Linked DNA regions of Notamacropus eugenii. The protein of the gene in region 1 purifies or fractionates together with the protein of each later gene. This does not show direct contact. Links are inferred from orthologs where the notes say so. Each region holds a gene or a part of one and is shown on either strand. Other genes may lie near its edges.

Region 1 (7,003 bases):
CGGATATTTTTTTTTCCTATTGAATTCAACTCAGTTATCCAAACGGTTCTTAAATACCTATAGCAGATCACGGAGAATGGTCTGTTGGAAAGTTCACAGCTCTGTTATTGGTAAACATAGATCCCAATCCCAGCACCATCAGTTCCTATCTGCAGGATCTCTGACAAATTACTTCATCTCTTTTGCCTTCACTTTCCTCGTTTATAAAATGAGTTGACTGGGCTCAACGGTAAATCTATGAACTTAGGAAGTACAGCTAGGTCCCGATTAGTGTGAACAATAATCCCCTGATATGATCACATTTATCCGAATTCACATTGCTTGAAGTCATAATTTTGTAAAACATGATAATTGGTTCCAGACAGGCAGCTCAAATTTGAATAATTCAGCCACTTCAGGGGATTTTTTAATTTATAAGACCTAGTTATATTACAAAGAAATATTAAAAATGGTCTCTCCCCTCATGGAGTGGATAGTATAGTAGGAGTATAGCACAAATATGTTACCATGATAGAAAATTATATATGATTGTAAGAGGGATGCAAACAGATCACTCACTATGAGAGATCTGAGAGGACAAGGACATTACCAATTGAGGGAATTGGGGAAGGTTTTACAGAAGGGGTAATATTTGAGTTGAACTTTAAAGGGTGGGTTTTAATTCCTTTAAAGGAATTCAACAGGTAGAGAATAGCAGGGCAGGGATGAAGATGAGGATATTCCAGACACAGGGAACAACACGAGCAAAAGCACAAGAGAAAATGGGGGTGTGGCACATTAAGGTAGATTTCAGTAACCCTGTTCAGCTTGAGCCTAAAATATGTGAAGGGGAGTAACATGAGAAAAGATCGGCAAGATAAGATAACCTAATTGCAGAGGGTATTGAATGAAAGGTTACTCTAAATTTTGTTTCAGAGTCAATAGAGAGCTATATCAGGGTCTTAAGCAAAGGAGTATCATGACTATTCTGACTTTGTACAAAACAAGTATTTAATAAATGTTTGTTGAATGACTGAATGACTAGATCTGTTCATGAGAAAGATTATTCTGTTAGTGGAATTAAGGATGAACTGGAGGGAAATGAGAGTAGAAGCAAGGAGATTTGTTATATTAGTCCCACAAGGGTGGGAAAGAAGTTCTATATCAGAGTAGGATAGTCAGAACAGGCAGAAGTGAAGGAATGTGAGAACTATTGTAGAACTAAAGTTGATGGGAAGTGGAAACTGATTGTATATAACAGCTGACTGCTTCTTTGGGAATCTTACAGACCCAACCTATGAGTTGTGTCTCCCTACTATAGAGGGGTTACTTCTCTTAGCCATCAAAAGAAGATGATAGAGAGAGCAGGAGATTAAAAAATAAAATGATATTTCTCTCTCTATATATATATATACATAAATATATATATATACACATACTTACATATAGATTTTAAAGTCAAGATCACTGGCAAGCTAACAGTCATCCCTGTCTTCTGTGACATTTCCCTGGAAGTTCTGATGGAAAAGAGCTTGGCTGCACTGTCCCTTATATTTCATTCCTCTCCCATTGAAAATACACAGCCTTATGCCCAGGCTTCTTCCTTTATAATAGGGAGGAATGTCATCTGCAAGTTTTCCATAAATACTGATTTTGCAGTTCAGTCCTGGCACTACTTTTCTTGAGACCACACTGACTCTTTGGGGCTCTCTCTTCTAAGCCCATAGCTATACCAGGCACTGATTATACTGGCTGACAGAATGCCAGGTGATTCACTAGTGAGAGTTCTCAAAATCCTTCTTTTTTCAGGAGTAGCAGAAAGAGAACAAACAGACCAATCTGATGCCAGTGGTGCATAAGAGACAAGTAGACAAACAGTTACAATGGGAATGCTGAAACCTACAGTGCTCAGGAGATGGAGATTTTTAAAAAATGTTTAGAGTACACACACACACACACACACACACACTACGTATACACATATATACAAGATCCATGCTAGACTAGAAAGCAGTTTTGGAGACATTCCCTTAGAGCCATAAATAATAAATAATTCGGTCACTTCAGGGGATTTGTTATCTGCACTAATCTGGACCTAGCTATATTACAAAGCAATGTAAAGTTTAGGTATGATGGTCTCTAAAAGCATTAACTTCAGTTCCTATGAAAATAGCATTCAAGCAAGTGCAGAAAGTCGGCTCTGACCTTTTCAGCGCGCCACATAAGTATAGACCAAGTGAACAACTCCAACGCCCAACAAGCACTATACCGTTACGTCAAAAGCCCAAATCTATTTGGCTAATTGCTGTCTTGGGCATGCCCCAAGTTATTACACAGACAGTGACAAACTTGAGAGCCTAAGAAAACGTGCCTGGCAGAATCTAGTGAAAATCTGTCTTGACACCAGTTTTGATGACTTGTTTGCATGCTAAGTGTGATCAAATGAGAACCGGCAGAAACATTCTAGAATGTTTTTCCCATCCATGTCAGGAATCACCTTTTTGACATAATCATGCTTTTTTTAAAAAAGTCTTTCCTTGAGGGAAGAATCTCTATCTAGAAGGCAGTCAGGCTGATCTTACAAGCAAATCGAAGTCTGTCACCAGCGAGCTTTTGCCAAGAACAGCAGTCATCTAGAATCTGTGAAAGGCAGTGTCAGCAGAGCTTTGGGGGAAGTCATACACCCATCCCACTTGCTTTCCACCCTCCCAGATACCCGCCCTCTCTGGTCGGTACCTTCTGTGTGGCAGCTGGAAGAGAGGATGGTGTTCGGAGGTCGGAAGATGTAAGGCAGGTAACGAGAAAAGCATTTCATCTTCCAGAAAAAAAAAAATAATTCTAAATCAAAAACCAGTTTCCTGAATCCATGAGGATTCTTTTGGCTTTCCAGGCAGGCTACATCACCGATAGGTTTATGTAGGATCTCTCCCAGATCTGCAAAGCCAGGAAGCCTGAGGAAGAACTGGCCGTGGACCCCATTTTGCCATCAGCACCAGGAAGAGCTGCTTACATTTCTGCATGCAGCTCAAACTCAGAAGCCCCCAAGCAAGCCGGGATATAAGCACTTCATTGGCTGGAGCTCATCAGTGCAGGATTTGCTGAGTAAGTCAGTCCTGCCTGTAAACACACACTGAACAACACTGTCCAAAATCAGCTTCCACCTTTTTCCTTCTCCTGGTCAGTTTCTCTTTCAGAAATAGAAATCCAGCAGGATACAGGAGCAGTGAGGATAAATGACCATCTCTTATTCAGCTAGAAGATCAGATGAAACAAAGGCAGCACACAGCCCTGCTCCAGGGAGAGCCTGCTGCTAAGAAAGTAGCCCTGTCATGCCAGGGATCTCAGGAATATTAAAGTACTGTGCAATGAAATGGGTCTCTGTCCCTGCTTAATCTAGATCGGATTCTTTCTTCTTGGTCTTATTCTCCTTCTTTCTAATACCAAAAGGAGAACAAAGGGGCTATTTATCACTTAGGTGAACCAGAACATAACAAGGTTGAGGAATCGGTGACAGGGGACTAACACTGACAGATTTTGTGTTCCACAACTGTGTGCTTGCTTTTTTAAAATTTTTTTTGCTTCCTGCCAGCACTCACACAAGAGAAGCAACTTCAGCTCAGAGTGGATTGCTGTTTAAAGCCACAGTATAAGAATAGTAGAGGTTGAATTCAAATGAGCTGCCTGTTCCTCAACATATACATGGATCTTCACATAGGTGAAAGGATTGGGGTCAGGTCAGTTATGGAACAATATACTCCTGAATGAAAATCTGACAAGGCTAGAGTAAAAGGAGAAAATGCCTACTACATTATAGTCGTGTGAAAAGTTTTGACCATAGCCAACTCCCAAAGACCATCTCCTAAGGTATAAAAGTTGAATTCTTCATCCATAGGGTACTCAAACTAACTAAATCAGAGCAAGGAAAATTGAAGTGTCCCCGCCCCCCTACTCAGAACAAAGTGATGAGGTTAGAAACATTATGCCAAAGCAAATGCAGAGCTCCCCTTTTGCCTAAGCCAAGACTGGTTAGAGATGACCACTGCTGCTGAGGACAGAGGGCAGGGGCTGGCTTCTCAAACCAAAGCATAAAATTAGTCTAGTAAATACCAGTTAGTCTTGTTATCTCATAAACCCCAATTCTACTTGTTCTCCCAGTTTTGAACTATCTGCCTGACCCCAAGGCTACATCCTTCTCTTGCCTCATGAAATATATGATCCTCAGATATTGATTCATGCTTGTTTGTGATCCTAACCCGTGCCCTGCCTCCAGCCCCTCTGTTTAGCAACTCTTACCCTAAGCCTGGCAGGGTCCAAAGAAACATCACAAGATGTACTAACTGTCATCATCTCATTATTAACTGTCTCATACTTCATTCAAGAAAAGAAGATGGAAATACATCATTCTACATGGAGATAAAGAGAAAATAAAACTCTCCAAAGTCCTATATAACAAACACCAACGGCAAATTTTAAGTACCAGCAAAACTCTTCAAACAGTGCGATTTTTAGAAGACTTAATGCAAACATGCTTTAAAGAAACAATTTCAAGAGTTTATGACTTTCAGCTTTTTAATGACTTTTAAGACTTTTTTAAAAAATTTATCATTGGGGGAATATGTTAGATTACATCAGAGGGCAGGTCACTGTTGTTCCAGCCAGTGTGGTCACAAGGCAACTCTTTGCTTTGCTCCTGACCCTCACCTTCCACTTATGTCTGTATGATGTCAAACAACCAGTTGATTCAATTTAGTGAGGCAACAAATCAATTCAGTGGGAAAACAATCTATCTCATGACCAATATTCCCTGAAGAGAGAGCCTAGCCATGGAAACTGAATTGCTGGTTCATTCTAATGAGACTGGGGCATTTGGAGGGTTATTTCTAAAGTAGAGAGGTGCATATACTTCCAATCTTCTTTGTCTAGATGATCTGGCTTGGCTTCATGGAAAATCACAAATTCACTGGAGAAAAACACACACTAATATTTCCCTGATAATATATTCAGAATATGAAAACTAGTTTTAGCAACAGATATGTTTTTTAAAAAACCCACTGTCTTCAGAGAGAAAGTGGGAATTTTTGCTCCCAGGTCAAATACCTCAAACTAGGCCTGGGGCAAGTAGCATGCTGGAAGGCCATAGGGATAGCAGAGGACATGGGCAGAACAGAGTACACACTTGCTGTAGCTTGACATAATGCATCTTCTGATTTTAATTATCCTTGCTAATCTCTCTTGTTTCTATGCTTCTGTGTCAGCACTCCCCAAATTTAGTGCCCTGGGACAAGGCCCAGATCACCAGCCTTTTTTTCCAGATCTATGTACAGAACATATATACAAAGTTTAGATAAAACTTTATCCTTGTCCTCACGGAGATCATAGTCTACTAGGAGAATAAGACTGAAACAAATAACTCTAATGCAGACCGTTACATGATTAATGCATTAGGATTATAAAACAAAGTATTTCATGAGATGAGAAAATAAAATGATGGTTGAACCAAGGAGGATTACGCCTCAGTAACTGATGAACAATCTTCAACCTTTGCAATCAAACAAAGTTACCAAAACTCACTCTAGCAGCCTGCTTTCTGTTACCTCTTTCTCCAATTATTTAGAATCATATAATTTACAGTTAGAAGAAATCATGTTCTTCAACCTTCTTTATTATACAGATGGGAAAGCTTAGATCCAGAAGCATTAAGAGACTTGCTCTGATTCATGCAGGATTGGGGAATCTGCAGCTTCAAGGTGACATGTGACCCTCTAGGTCCCCAAGTGTGGCCTTTGGATTGAATCCAAACTTCACACAACAAACCCCTTAATAAAAGGATTTGTTCTTTAAAACTTGGACTCAAAGGGCCACACTTGAGGACCTAGAGGGCCACATTGTCCTAGGGGCTGCAAGTTCTCCACCCACCACACCCCCATCTCAAATGGTAAGGTAGAGAGTTAGCATTGAAGCCTGATGCCTTTTGCTTCATATCCAGTACCCTCCAGAACCAAACTGCCTCCTCTCTCCTCTCAAGTTTTAAAGGTTATTGTCTGGATAACTCATTTGAGCACTTTACCTCCAGCCTAATGTACTTAGTTAACTACTTCCCGTGAGCTCTTTTTATCTCCCCAATGAGCTAATAAGTTCTCAGAGAGCAGGGCAGTCAAGAAATATCTGCCAAATGAATGGTATGAATCTCAATTTCCTCTTCTGTAAAATTGTGGGCTTTAGTTTGTTGATCCCTGTAGTACCCTCTAATTGCCCTGTTCATTGGGCTTCTATGAATGAATCTCCACTGATGCCTTACTGCTATAAATAGACATATCCTTGTAATCTAGCTAAGACTATTATTACCTCAACGTGAAACAAAAAGCCAGATATAGCCTATATCTAAATCCTAGGAGAACCACTTCTAAAGTACCTGGTTTTCCCTGCCTTCATCTGAAAAAAAATCTCTCCAAACCCCAAGGCAGGACTGTAATCACCCCAGAGCATGGGGGATCAGTGATCCATGTGAAGCATCATGGGACCCAGGTAGAATTTCTTCTATGGCCCTCTCCACTGCCAAAAGTTATTTACTATGTGATGAGGAAGACTTTAAGAAATAATTTCCAACTCAGCATTTCCAACTCAGAAGACTTCTTGGTCTCCCTACACAGCGATGACCTTGACTCTTTTCTGAGTCAAATAACATTTTGCTTATACCTCTCTGATGCACATATGTATTTATGAATGATATCACAACATTCCAAATCTATTGGGGGTGGGGGGGAGCTCAGTATTCTTCATTCAATCAACAATCAAAAAACAAGCACTTATTAACTGCCTTCTACATACCAGGTACTAAGGTTACAAATATAAGGAATGAAACCTTGCCTCCTCTTAAGGATCTTCTGTTCAAATGGAGAAAGCATCAAATACACATTTAAATATATACAGAGTAACTATAGTACAGATGAAAACAAGATAGTTAAATACAAAATGGTTAGGGAGGGCTTGGGCAGCTAGGTGGTGCAGTGTATATAGTACCAGT
Region 2 (7,030 bases), on another chromosome or scaffold:
AAATAGTCTCTGAATTAAGTTTGAAAAGGACCATCAGCTGAGTCATAGGTTATTAAAGTTTCGATTATGTTTTCAGTCCTTTTTTTACGAGCCATAATCTCATCAGACCTTCACAACAACCCTATATGGCAGGGTAAGGTTTATCATTATCACTTGACAGATGAGGAAACTGAAGTTAAGAGAACTTAAAGTCTCCTTTCTAATAATAATAAAAGTACAAGAAGTGGTGGAGCCACATCTGCGACCCCCAGGGTCTGACAAAGTCTGAGTTTCACTTCATGAGGTAATAACGATTGATGAAACTAAAATAATAACAATAATAATCACTAGCATTTACATAGCACCTTAAAGGTTGCAAAATGCTTTACAAATATTATTTTATCCTCACAACCCTGGGAGGTAGGTGCAATAAAAATAATTGGACTTTTTATTTCCTAGTCACTTCGTTTCATAAGATTTCCAATTGTTCTATAAACACCAGAATCCTGACAAAATAGTACCAAGAACTGATACTAGCATTTATTTACAATATACATTTACAGCCAGGGATAACATTTGTTAGACTGCTTAAACAAAATACTAAGCGCAAGATGTTAGTGCTTTTGTGTACATGGATTGAAGTAATGAGGATGGATCCTAGAATTTCATATCCACTTAGTTTATGTTGCTTGTTTAGATAGGCTGTGCTGAACAAAAAACAACTTGTCTCGTGAATTAAACTTGTTTATAAGGGCTATATTATTTAGAATTGGAGAAGGGAAGAATTTGGTAGTGATATAAAGATTTATAGGTTGCCTCTTAATAAGGTGTTAATATTCAGTGAAACACTTAGCACATCATTGGCACTCTATAAATGTTTAATTGGTAAAGAACAGGAAAGCAATTACTATTTTTTTTAACAAAATGTTTCACAAATAGACTTTGGAAAAGAAGTCAAAATATACTACATATCCAAGAAGCAATTTCTATCTTATCTTCTGAGGCTGTTTGAATAAAGTTCAAGTGACATAATTTCTGGGCAATTGATAATTTTATTAATAATGCTAGCATTTTATTAATAAAACTGGTCAGTGGCACTCTTGAATGCCAAAGATAATCATGGCTGGCTTTGGGCTCACAGTTTATATGCCCTTGGAAGAGAGAGTGTTCCTGAGGGTAGCTATCAATTCTGATTGGTTAACAATTAATGAGAGAATGAATATTACAATGAGAAGTGGGCTTACTCCAATGAGGGGCTTTGAGAATGGCAAAGAGACTACACCTCCATTATGTCAGCTGAGTCCCACAAACACCTAGTGAGATAGATCTTATCATCACTCTGATTTTGCAGAGATGTTAAATGACTTGAGGCAGCTAGGTGGTGTAATGGATCAGAAGACCTGAGTTCAAATCCAGCCTCAGACCCTTACTAGCTGGGTGACCCTGGGCAAGTCATCTTAACCCCTATTTGCTTCAGTTCACCTATAAAGTAGGAATACACAGGAGAAGGAAATGGTACACTAATATCTTTGCCAAGAAAACTCTATAACCTTCGTTCATAGGATCATGTAGAGTCCAACTGTGACTCAACAACAACAAAGAAATCACCTACCCACTGTCAAACAGCTGAGTGGCTCAGCTAAGGTGATTGAGACAGGATTTAAACCCAGCCTGGAGTCCATTATGCAATAATGCTGCCTCCCTTCCCATGGTTTCTGAAACTTTCCTATCTGTCATTCCTTATGGAGCAATAATATTCCATTGCATTCATGTGTGGAATTTGTTCAGCCACCATTCGTTACGTTCTCATTCTGTTGCTTGGACCTACTCAGTTCAGGAATATCATATGGTACTCAATTTTAACTGTTTAGAAAAGTGCTCCTTTACTGAGGGTCACTTTCTTCTTCGAAAACGAAGAAAGAGCAGATATCTGTTAGAAAGAAGCAATCTATGGCACCTTTACAAAGTAACTCAGAGTAGGAAACAGCTTAGACACAACTGTTTATAGGTAGTTTAAAAAGGGAAGTGGAGACTGAAGAAAATGCATGAGTAGTTTAAGAAAGGAAGGAGTTTTGGGTCCTCCTAAAAACCTTGAGCCAGCTCTGTTTTATAAATACAGTTTGAAGAGAAGGAATCCTTCAGTAGCAGAGCAGTTAGCAGGGGAAAGAGGTTAAAAATTGGGAAAGATAGCAATGGAAAAAAGTGATTCAGAAAAGGTGGGTGGGTGGAGGGGGAGAAGACAGGATAAAAAAACTGTCTGGGTTTATTTCCTCTTAAAGCTATTGTTACTTTCCCACAACCCTTGCTCCTTATCATTTTTTAAAATAATATTGGGTCTAAAAGGTTAATTTTCCTCAGAAGGGAAAGAATAATTATTTTTAAATAGTATTCATTTTTTCTCCAAAGATTCTAAAACCATGTATTTAGAACTGAAACTGACCTTTAAAGTCATCTAATCCAAGTCTTCTTCCCCCTCCATTAATTTTAAAGATGAGGAAACAGGTTCAAAGTAATGAATGACTGACCACAAGTCACACAGCATGTAAATCAGGATTTAAATCCAGTACCTGGGGCATCAAATTTAACATTCTCCCTATTGTTATTTTGAGATCTCTATTCATTTCCCACCCAGAAAGCACCCATTTGGAATTCCTTTGACTTTTCCAGTTTACCTACACCGCCCTTCCTGCTCCTCGCTAGACTGTAAACTTCTTGAGGGCAGATTGCATCTTTCTTTTTCAAATACCGTATTCCCAGGATGAAGCGCCGTGCAGGGTACATGTTTATTGACTATTAAAACACAAGGACTATCTCAATTCAATTCTGGACAATTCTGTGTATAGAGTAGTTATCACTGTGTCTTATTAATAGGATCCCTGCATTAGAGCCAGTAGAGATTACCCTGGAGGTCATCTAACACAATCCCTCCATTTTACAGATGTGGATGCGTCCAATTTACACCCTTACTAGAACCGCAAAGAAGAATCCAATAACGACGTATCTTGTTTTATTAAATATGTCATGGGCATGTGGAGGCAGAGGAATTGGATTCGAATTCTAGCTTTATGGATTACTACCTGTGACTCTTCAAGTGCTAAACCTTAGGAGCTCTATGTGTGTTCCTGAAACGTTTCCTGTAAAGAAAAATCTTAAAATTATATTTTGTATGCACTTTGAGGAGAAGCTATTTGAAGAGAAACCGTGGGGATATGTTTTTGGAAAGAAAGCAAACGGCTCCTTAATTTAAATGTTTTCTAAGTCTGGATTTTTGGTATTTTGGCTTTTCTTAAACAAAGGCAGATCTATATCTTGAAAAGACATCGTATTGTGTTTCAAACAGTTCAAAACACTTCCATTCATGTATTTACTTAACACCTTCCCCAACTATATACATATATATATATGCACACACTATCTATCTATCTATCCGTCTATCTATATACACACACACACGTATATGGAAGCTATTTAAATAGCTCCGTTTTTTTAAAAGTAAGATTAAGTGTGCTGAATGGATGTGCCTCCAGGCACCTCCAAACCAAGCTGGAGGACAGCTCCCCGGCACCTCGGGAGATCTCCCGCCGGGAGGATTCCGGGCTGGGGGCCGCAGGGCCTCGCCCCGCCGGGGGCTCCGCCGCCCGGCCACACGGGCTGCGGACCGAGGACCAGCACAACTAGCAGGCGGCGCCGCCGGCAGCCCCGCAGGAGAAGCCCCCCGAAGCCGCGTTCGTCCCCTGGCTGCCGGGGCGGGCCCTCGCGGGGCACGCGGCGTCTGCAGCCGGAGCAGCGCTGGAGGCCGGCAGGTGAGGGGCCCGTTAACAGCCCGTGCGGTCGGGTTCCCACGCCTCAGCCCGGCTACGAAACCTCCTTAGCCAAGTCTCTTAAAGTGGAGGCGGGGCCGGGGGGGAGGGGAAAAGGGTGGAGGGAGAGGGAAAGGGCGTGTGTCCGCGTACCGTGGGGGGAGGGGCGCGGTCGGGAAGCGATCCTGGCTCTTCCTTTAGAGTGGGAAAGGACCTCCGAGGCTCTGGCGCCTGCTCCCTCCTGTACGGACGGGGAAACTGAGGTCCAGGGAGGCTTAAGCGACTGCCGGGGAGCCAGGATCCGAGCCCGGGCTTCTCGGCCTCCGACGCTCTTTTTACCGGCCCCGGAGCTCCCTCTGAAGGGCACTCACTCGCCGCTGGGGTGTCTCTGGGGTGGGGGATGGGGAGTCGGGGTGGCCGCGGCCGGGGAGCCACCGTTAGGAGGGCCAGCTTCGGCTTCGGGAATCCAGCCGTGTCCAGTACGCACCTGAACGCCCTGCCCACCGCACGAACAGCCGAACAAAGGGCTTTCCCCCGCCTCCTCCGGGAACGCCCGAGCGCCCCGAGAGGTGACACCTCGGGGACTTGGCCGGCTCGTTCCCCTCCCCCCTCGAGCACCGCTTCCTCTTCCTCGCTGTTTCCCCCTTTAAGAGAGGGCTCCGCGGGACTAACGTTCGAATCTGCCCTGTCTCCGGCCCGCGGCCTCTGATTGGCTGAGAGGGGCGCACGAGGGAGCGCGAGCTCTCCCCGAACCGGTCGGAACGGTCGCTAGTCTCTCCTGATTGGCTGGCGTGAGAGGACTATATAAAGCCGCCGGGTCGCCCGTCTCCGCTCAGTTAGCGGCGGGACTGGTTGCCAAGCTCCCGTGTGCTCCGTCGCGGCCGTGAGAAAGGGGTCAGAGCTCGCGTCGCCGTGGTCCCGGTTGTTTGTTCGCTCGCTTTGGGCCGAGGGAGGAGCTGACGCGTCTCCGCCTCCGGCCCCACACCCTGCCCGCGGACGGGACGAGGGGGTAGCCGCCCGTGAATCGGCCGCCCTCGAGCTGCGGAGGCGCCTGAGCGAGGGACGATGGAGTTCAAGCTGGAAGCTCACCGCATCGTCAGCATCTCCCTGGGCAAGATCTACAACTCGAGGGTTCAGCGCGGCGGCATCAAGCTCCACAAGAACCTGCTGGTGTCGTTGGTACTTCGCAGCGCCCGCCAGGTCTACCTGAGCGACCCCTGCCTGGGCGGCCCCGGGCCGGGCGCGCTCGCGCCGCCGCCGCCGCAGCTTCCCGGGGGGCCGGCCCCGGGCTGGGGAGAGCCGCTCCCCAGGGACAGCAGCATGGAGCAGGACCCGGAGCCCGCCCCCGAGCCCCTCGGGGAGCGCCCGCCCGAGGGGTCGCCGCCGCCCCGAGCCGAGGCGGGGCCCGAAGCCCCGAGGCGCCGCGTGGAGGAGGCGGAGAGCGGCGGCGGCGGGGAAGGCGTCCCGGAGGGGCCGCCGCGGGCGCGGCTCTGCTGCTGCCGCCGCCTCCCCGGCTCCTCGCGCGGCGCCCCGCGGGCCGACTGCTCCTGCCACCCGCGCCCGGACGAGGGGGCCCCGCCACCGCCCGTCTGCCCCCGGAAAAGGAGCGCCTCGGGGGCGGGGGGCGGCCCCGGGGGGTGCTTGGCTTCGGGCGGCTCGCCCGTGAAGAAACCCCGCAGGGACTCGGAGGAACAGCCGGGCGAGGAGGAGGAGATGGAGACCGGTAACGTGGCCAGCCTCATCACCATCTTCGGGTCCAGCTTCTCCGGACTCTTGCGCAAAAGCCCCGGGGGCGGCCGGGAGGACGAGGACGGCGAGGAGGAGGAGCAGCAGCCGCCGCGCGGTCCGGAAGCGGCGGAGCCCGGGCCCATGTACTGCGACAAGCCGGTGTTAAGAAACCTCAACCCCTGGAGCACTGCCATCGTGGCCTTCTGATCGCCCGGGGCCCGGGCGGGGGCGGGGGCGCCCGGGGAGAGACTGAGGCGGTGCCGCCCCGAGCCGGGCCCCGCCCCCGGCCCGCCGCCCCGCCCCCTCGGAGCCGGCTGGGCAGCGGGACCTGCCCGGGGGCGAGCCGCGAGCGGACTGTGCCCGCGCCGCCGGGCCCCTGGGCGCCGGGGGGGCTTGTGTTATAAAGTGTTTTTGTAAGTTGATTGTTGAAGTAAGGCTTTCTTGTCACCGGGATTCCGGGCTGGGGCTCGAGACGCTGGGGGCGGGCGGGGGCGGCGCGGAGCCGGGACTTTCCTGCAGGGGCGGCGAGGAGGAAGCAGCGCGGCCGGGCCGGGAGCTGGGGGAAGGGACTCGGCGAGCCCCCCCACGACCGGCCCCGCGCGGGCCTCGTGGGCGCCCTGCGCAGCCCGGAGCGCGGTCCTGGGGGGAGGGACAATTCTTGTTGACAGACTCTGAGGTCTCCCCCCTTCAGAAAGCTTGGTGAGCTTCCTAGAAGAGATCAAGCTTGAAATACTGAGTTTATAAGGAAATATATATATAAACATATATATATTTTAAAAGCTCTAGGTCAGAATTATTACACAGTGCTTTTAAAAAGTGTTTAATGAAAAAGTTTACAGATGCCCTAATGGAAAGGCCTCGTGGCTTTAGTAGATGTGATTACTCCCGTCTTTGTTGTATAAAGGCTGGGGGCTTGTAGAGTTTTTGTACAGTATTTTCTTCGTGTATTGACATTTTTTTTGTATAAAATGTAACTTTACGTGTCTGACACGTATTAAATATTTTGAAGCAACCTCACTGTCTCCTTTTCTGTAATCACCCGCTTGGGATTGGGAGGAGCGAGAAAAGGACCGTGGTCCCACCGACCAGGGTGATATTGTTGAAATAAAATATATTTACGGCCGAGTACGGAATAGACCAAACTGGGGCAGCTATTCAATAGATGAGAAACACCAACGTATGATTCCAGGTTGGAATCATATTCTTTGAAGTTTCCTGTAACCCAGTCTGAAGGGGGTATGGCGGTCCTTTGCCTGTAGGATTTCCCATGAGCACTGTTTTATCCTTTCCACTAAAATGTCTTTACCAGTACTTTGAAGTAGAATAAATAGGTTTATGGAAAAACTACACAGCCAGTTGTAATGTAGCTCCTGAGAATTAGTTGACAATCTGTTGCCATGTCTAAATTAACTTAAAAAAATTTGTGTTTAGCCGTGCCAGTGTTGGAACCTTTTCAGTTCATGAGACAATTGACATCTTTCCTGTCTTGGGAATGTGAGGAAGGTCACTCAGAAGTTTACCTA
Region 3 (7,133 bases), on another chromosome or scaffold:
AAGGAAGATGATGTCTGGCCCTGTCCCAGCTGAAGAAAGTCTGTGGAAACGAACTAGAAGTTCAGAGCAAGCAGGTCTCAAAGGAATATCAATTCTGTTAAATTAGAGATGTCAGACCACTCTGTCCAAGACGTCCATCCCAAGGTAGTAATGGCTAGTGACAGGGAGAATGAAGATCCTACGATGGACAGGCCACCTCTAGGTACACCCACAGGTCATCATCCTAAACAATCCAGGCCAAATCAGGGCTACCTGGCTACACCCCTGCTCAGGGTAGCCTCACTGCTGCCAGTGCTGGCCTGAAGGACAGACTGACTTTCATTCTGGCACCCTCCTGAGAGCTAGTATTGCTGCCACTACTGGCACAGTCCCAGGCAAGCCACGGGAGCGGAGAGCTTCTTGGATTATCCTCCTCTGGGTGGCTGCACTGTTCCTGGTATAAGACAGAGCCCGCTTGCGGCTGGCATCAAGGAAGAGGATTAGAGGGTTATTAGAGAAGCCAAAGTCACACAATCTGCCTAAAAAGTTCAACAAACATTCTGTCCACTGACGGCCACCCCAGCATCCATCAGCAGTGGGAGAAAGGTCTCAGAGCTGCTTGTCTCAGCTGACCATGTACGTTTAAGGGTAAGAGAACTGGTTAAAAACCCCTCCCAACATTGAACCTCACTGACGTGAAGGACAGCACACAAAGCCGGAGTCAGCCTCAGGCCTCAGTACCAGTCAGGCTACAGGGAGCCCTCAGCATGGCTCACAGGCTAGGCTGACACTACTGACATGGAACTGAAAGGGGAAAACGTGAAGAAGCGGCGTGGAGGGGGCAGGGAGGGGAGGTCGGACTGAGCCAGGGGGTGCTCCTCACTGACTCCGGACCCAGGAAAGGTCCCTGAGTCACCACCAGCCCAGACGGGAACCCAGACCTTCCGTTCCTTCGGTGCCTGGGAGTGCCACTGGCCAGGTGACCCACGGGTCTGAGACCAGGCCACCCATGGGTCTGAGACCTAAGGCCAGGCCACGCACGGGTCTGAGACCAGGCCAGGCCACGCACGGGTCTGAGACCTAAGACCAGGCCAGGCCACCCATGGGTCTGAGACCTAAGACCAGGCCACGCACGGGTCTGAGACCTAAGACCAGGCCAGGCCACCCATGGGTCTGAGACCTAAGACCAGGCCACGCACGGGTCTGAGACCAGGCCAGGCCACGCACGGGTCTGAGACCAGGCCAGGCCACGCACGGGTCTGAGACCTAAGACCAGGCCACGCACGGGTCTGAGACCAGGCCAGGCCATGCACGGGTCTGAGACCTAAGACCAGGCCAGGCCACGCACGGGTCTGAGACCAGGCCACGCACGGGTCTGAGACCTAAGACCAGACCAGGCCATGCACGGGTCTGAGACCTAAGACCAGGCCACCCACGGGTCTGAGACCAGGCCACCCATGGGTCTGAGACCAGGCCACGCATGGGTCTGAGACCTAAGGCCAGGCCACCCATGGGTCTGAGACCAGGCCAGGCCATGCACGGGTCTGAGACCTAAGACCAGGCCAGGCCACCCACGGGTCTGAGACCTAAGACCAGGCCAGGCCACGCACGGGTCTGAGACCTAAGACCAGGCCAGGCCACCCACGGGTCTGAGACCTAAGACCAGGCCAGGCCACGCACGGGTCTGAGACCTAAGACCAGGCCAGGCCACCCACGGGTCTGAGACCTAAGACCAGGCCAGGCCACCCACGGATCTGAGACCTAAGACCAGGCCACGCACGGGGCTAAGACCTAAGACCAGGCCAGGCCACGCACGGGGCTGACAGCACACGCACTCCTCGCCCCAAAGCCGCCCCGCCCTCACCTGGGCTCCGGGCACTCTAGGTCACAGGCCTCCTCCCCACAGACCCCGGCGCTCATCCGGGCGCAGGGGACCCTTCCTCAAGCAGCTCTCGGACCCGTGCCCAGGCTGCTCCAAACCTCCAGCGGCTCCGCGAGATCACTCATTCACTCAGCAAACACTGAGGCCCCAGTGGCCAGTCTGGGGGAGACGGCGGGCACCGAGGGTCCACAACTGACCCGGAGGGGGCGGGGAGGCCGGTTTGGGGGTCACACTGGACACCGCCGAGAAGCCAGAGCGGTCCGGGCCAGGAGCCACTCTGCGAGGCAGAGGGACGCTGCGGGGATCCGGGAAGGCTGCCGTGACGTGGACGGAGACCGCACATAAACAACTCGCTGGGGCCAAGCAACGCCAAGGAGGGCATCCCCACACGGGGAGGGGGGAGAGAAGGCCCCGAGAGAACGGCGCCGCCCCGCCCCTCCCCCTCCCCCTCCTCCTTCGGGCGGCCCCTCCCCCTCCCCCCTCTCCCGGCCTCCCCTCCCCCTCCCCCTCCCCCTCCGGGCCGCCCCTCCCCCTCCCCCTCCCCCTCCTCCTCCGGGCCGCCCCTCCCCCCTCTCCCGGCCTCCCCTCCCCCTCCCCCTCCCCCTCCGGGCCTCCCCTCCCCCTCCCCCTCCCCCTCCGGGCCGCCCCTCCCCCTCCCCCTCCTCCTCCGGGCCGCCCCTCCCCCTCCCCCTCCTCCTCCGGGCCGCCCCTCCCCCTCCCCCTCCTCCTCCGGGCCGCCCCTCCCCCTTCCCCTCCGGGCCTCCCCTCCCCCTCCCCCTCCCCCTCCGGCCGCCCCTCCCCCTCCCCCTTCCCCTCCGGGCCGCCCCTCCCCCTCCCCCTCCTCCTCCGGGCCGCCCCTCCCCCTCCCCCTCCTCCTCCGGGCCGCCCCTCCCCCTCCGCCTCCGGGCCGCCCCTCCCCCTCCCCCTCCTCGTTCGGGCCGCCCCTCCCCCGCCCGGCCGCACCTTCTCACAGAGCGTGCGCACTTGGTTCTCGTTCAGCTGCTTGCACTCGTTCAGCTGCTCCACCCACTGGTCCAGCTCCTTCGTGAACACCTTGTCCTCCATGATGGCGGCAGCGGCGGCGGCGGCAGCGGCGGCGGCGGCTGCGGCGGCGGCGGCCAAGGGGGCTCGTGCTGGACCCCGCCGGGCCCGGGCCCTGGCCCCGCCCCCGCCCCGCCCCGGCGCCGGTCCCGCCCGCCGTCGAGCCCCGCCACGCCACGCGAGCCCCGCCCCCGCCCCGCCCTTAGGGGGGGCGCGAGCCGGGACGGCGCGGGCGCGCAGGCGTGCCCGGGCGAGAGACGCGGCGACGGGGCCGCGCACGGAGGCGCGGGGGCGTGCCCGCCGGCCACCAACCCCTCCTGCGCGCGCGCGCCGCCCCGCCCCCTCCGCGGCGCGCACAGCCGCTCCCAGGGCCCACGGGCGGGGCCGAGCTGGGGGCGGGGCCGAGCTGGGGGCGGGGCCGAGCTGGAGGCGGGGCGCCACTGACCGGCCCGCCTGCCTGCCTGCCTGCCTGCCTCCCTACGGCCCGCCCGGGCCGACTCCGCCCTCTCCCGCAGCCCTCCTCACGCTCCCTGCCCGTCGGGGCCCGTCACCGCGGGGCACTTCCGCCGGAAGGAGACGAGGGAGGGGGCCGCACGCGAGCGGCGGGAGGGGGAAGGCAGGCGGAGGGAGCACGAGCCGGTACCGCTGGCCACAGCACCACCACGCGGCCGGGAGGAGGAGGAGGAGGAGCGGGAGGAGGCGGTGACGGCGCGGCGCGGCGCTGACCCCCTGCGTCACTGCGTGACTTGCGCCGCGGCGCCGCCCCTTGACGTCAGTCACTCCAAGGCCCTCTCCCACCCTGCGCGTCCCGCTCCGAGCGCGGGACCCCGCTCCTCGGGTCTGGGCCTGCGCAGGAGGGGCGGGCCGATCGGCGTGGTTCGGGTTCTCCGGGCCCGCCCCCCGCTCTGTCTCTCCCCCAATAGCCGCGGTCACTGCCGCCTGCCGCCAGGGGCGCTCTCCGGAGCTGTCCGAGGTAGCCGCAGATGCTCCGGGAGGTCGGCCCGGGTGCCACGCCCCCCTGCCCCGGACTGCGCTTCTCCCGATGCCCCGGCTTGGGGCCCGGCCTTGGACAGAGAAGCGGAAAGGCGAAGGCTCCGGAGGCAGGGCGCGGACTCCGTGTCCGAGCCCTCCGCTTTGTTCGGTTTGCTGTAGAGATGGGCACGGAAAGCTGGCGTTCGTGTGCCCGTTCTCGCAGCCTGGCGCTTCCGCTAGGTCTCGGGAGCGGAGAGGCGCGTCTGGTCCGTGGGTCCGTGGGAGGAAACACGCGGCGGCACATCCCGCCCGAGAGCGGCTCCTCCGACCCAGAGCGCGTGTAGACGTTTAACACGCCGAGGGTTTCTGCCCTCGCTGCAGGATTGGAGCCGGCGTCACGGTGAAGCGCCCACAAGGCAGCTCTCCGGGGGCGCAGTAGGGGCGAGACCAGGCTCGCGTGGGCACACGGACGCCCTGGGAGCTGTCGGGGAGCTGTTTAAAAAGTAACAGCGCATTGTAACTTTGTATCACGCTGTGAGGTCTGCAGATGATACTAAGCAGCCTCTGTCACCCTGGAGGCAGGCGCTGTCAGCCTCATTTTACAGATGAGGAAACTGAGGCAGGAAGATTAAGTGGGTTTTTTCTAGGCTATATTTAAACCGACTTTTCCTGACTCCAAGATCTAGCTGCCTCTAAGTCTTACCAACTGAGAGAAAAGGCAGCATCTAGAGTCCCTAGACTGACTTTTGCTTCGATAAACGGTCACTACCCAGCTCTCCCGAGGTCTTCTGCGTAAGCAGACTTGGTTACGGAAGTCCAGCCATGGACTACTTCTCCGGGAAGTGGCTTTCATTTCGACTTATCATGTCCCTAGGTCAGAAGGATTTGAGAAGCAGCGGCTAGATAGTCCTAGCCCAAGAACCCTCCAGGAGACTGGAGGAAGCATTGCCCAAAGACCTTCAAGGGGTCCCTGTGACCCAGCCTCCGCAGTCCCCGACCCTGCCAGCCCCTCCCTCCAGTCCCTGCTGACCACAAAGAAGGAAGAGATAGGGGAGCTAGAGCAGATCCAAGGTGCCACCCATGAGCCTTTGCAGTGATGGTTGGTCCTTGGGTTCATCTGAGGTTTTCCAAGTGGTTTGATGTCATTGTCTGCATTTTTCTCCTGGTTCTACGGATTTCCCTATGCATCGGTTCATTTAAGACCAAAGGACTTCCCATGTGTCTGGAACTGTCTTCATAACTTCTTAGGTAAAGAGGCATTCCATTATATTTATACAGCATAACTTGTCTGCTGTTCCCCAACAGATAGATATTCACTTCTTTGCCATCGCAAGAAGAGGTGCTATATACAAACTGTTAGTACCTAGGGGTCCTTTTCCTCTTTCCTTGATGTCTTTCTGGGTTTACAGAGGGCAGCAGGCACAGTTTAGTAGCTTTGGGGCCATAATTCCAAATGGTTTTCCAAAATGACTTGCTCATGTCACAGCTCCAACATGCATCAATGTACCTGTTTTCTCACAGCCCCTCCAGCATTTATTTTCCTTTATTTGTTACTTTGTCAGTCTGGAAGGTAAGAGGTAGAACCTTAGAGTTGTTTTAATTTATATTTCTCCAGTTATTCATGATTTAGAGCCTTCTTTCACATGGCTATAAATAGCTTGGATTTTTTTTTCTGAAAACTGCCTAGGCTTTCTTTCTAGACTGATCACCCATTATTCCCCCATACGAACTCTGCTCAAGCCAAATCGTGTTGCTTGCTGTTTCCCCTACACGCCAACCAATGCCTTCCCTCCATATCTTTGCACAAGACGTTCTATGCACATCAAGAAATCTGACACTTCCCACAATTCTGAGTCAATTTCAAAGCTCATCTCAGGGGCTACCTCCCATAGGAGTCCTTCCTTGTACTTCTGGGAAGAGATGCCAGTGCTCTCACCCCAATGTTACTTTTCATTGTACATATGTGCATATACACACATAGGTGTACATATCTATCTAATCTTACCTGTGTACTGTCTAAGCTTTCCCCTGTAGAATGTAAGTTTCTTTATGGCAGAGACCATTGCATTTTTATCTTCAAATCTCTAGTCTGGGACAACTCCTGACACACTGTTGTTGTTCAGTCGTGTTGGATTCTTCCTCACTCCGAGGACCCTAGTACACCAATGCTGTCCATGAGGATTTCTTGTCAAACTGACACACAGTAGGTGCTTCAAAAAATATTTGAGTTGAAATGAATTAAACGGATTAGAAGGCATGAGACTGGCCACTACTTCTCTTAAGGATCTAAGAGTAACCCCAAGGGGCTATCCTTCTAACAGTGCCACTCACGAGCCCCTGGTGGGGTGCTTCCTTTTAACAATTGGCCAACAGACTTAATTAGCTTTTAGAAAATGTATTTACTCAGAGTTTAGTAAGAAAGGCTGGCAAAATATAGTCCCCACCTCCAAAAACCTGGGGTACCCTCTCCCACAAATACATACAAGGCCATAAGAAGGATGGACTCAAACTTAGACTACAAGGGTAGTCACAATTAATTCATCCTTCTTGTGCTCTGTGGCCCCAAAGTCCTTTCTTAAGTTCACAGCCAGCCTCTTCGGTCTTTCCACATCCATCTGTCCTTCCTTCTTTGGGAAGTGTTGTTTCCTACTGATTTCAGGTCATCTCTTCAATCTCAGCTAGAGATAGTTGATGTTATTGGTCCAATCTTTCTGATGACATGGTCAATTGGAAGAGACAAGAGAGAAACTTTGCCCCCTCCCCCCTTTCCAATAGCAATTCCCTTTCAGTTGGACTTAGCTCCAACTCTCAAGATGGAATTCTTAGTTCCTGAACTTAGAGCCTACCACTGCTAGCTTGGTCCCCCAATAGAAAGACCACTGTTTTTATACATAGGCTGACAGGTATGTGTGATTCTTTTGGCCAATCAAAGCAGGGAGTGAGCTGCCTTCATCCATGACCAAATCTGCATAATGCTCCAAAATGACTTATTCACAACCTATGGTGGAGGTATAGAGGCAGCAGAGTACAGGGGACAGAAAGCTGTCTTCAAAGCTAGGAAGCCCCAAGTTCCAATCTAGCCTCTGATACATATTACCCACGTGACCCTGGAAGCCACTTTGTTTGCACAGAGGATCAAATGAGGTCATGAATGTTCAGCTCTTTGCAAGTAATACATAAATCTTATTATTATTTAACAAATAAAGGTGGTTAAATGTGATGCACTAGGGAGGGAGGGCCCTGGCATTCGCAGGTCTTT

Evidence for each region.
Region 2: the proteins of PPP2R2B (region 1) and IER5 purify together in Homo sapiens (affinity purification with mass spectrometry; 4 studies listed by BioGRID and IntAct, with this or other methods). This does not show direct contact. The link is inferred for Notamacropus eugenii from reciprocal best matches to the Homo sapiens genes PPP2R2B and IER5.
Region 3: the proteins of PPP2R2B (region 1) and PPP2CB purify together in Homo sapiens (affinity purification with mass spectrometry; 5 studies listed by BioGRID and IntAct, with this or other methods). This does not show direct contact. The link is inferred for Notamacropus eugenii from reciprocal best matches to the Homo sapiens genes PPP2R2B and PPP2CB.

The regions. Positions count from the first base shown.
Region 1 is NC_092872.1:376,146,311-376,153,313, forward strand, and holds the start of PPP2R2B (serine/threonine-protein phosphatase 2A 55 kDa regulatory subunit B beta isoform), read right to left. Parts: upstream 3,004-7,003; 5' UTR 2,795-3,003; coding exon 2,716-2,794; intron 1-2,715. UniProt on the Homo sapiens protein: The B regulatory subunit might modulate substrate selectivity and catalytic activity, and might also direct the localization of the catalytic enzyme to a particular subcellular compartment.
Region 2 is NC_092873.1:464,456,379-464,463,408, reverse strand, and holds IER5 (immediate early response gene 5 protein), read left to right. Parts: upstream 1-4,535; 5' UTR 4,536-4,844; coding exon 4,845-5,714; 3' UTR 5,715-6,519; downstream 6,520-7,030. UniProt on the Homo sapiens protein: Plays a role as a transcription factor. Mediates positive transcriptional regulation of several chaperone genes during the heat shock response in a HSF1-dependent manner. Mediates negative transcriptional regulation of CDC25B expression.
Region 3 is NC_092878.1:167,231,740-167,238,872, reverse strand, and holds the start of PPP2CB (serine/threonine-protein phosphatase 2A catalytic subunit beta isoform), read right to left. Parts: upstream 3,012-7,133; 5' UTR 2,927-3,011; coding exon 2,825-2,926; intron 1-2,824.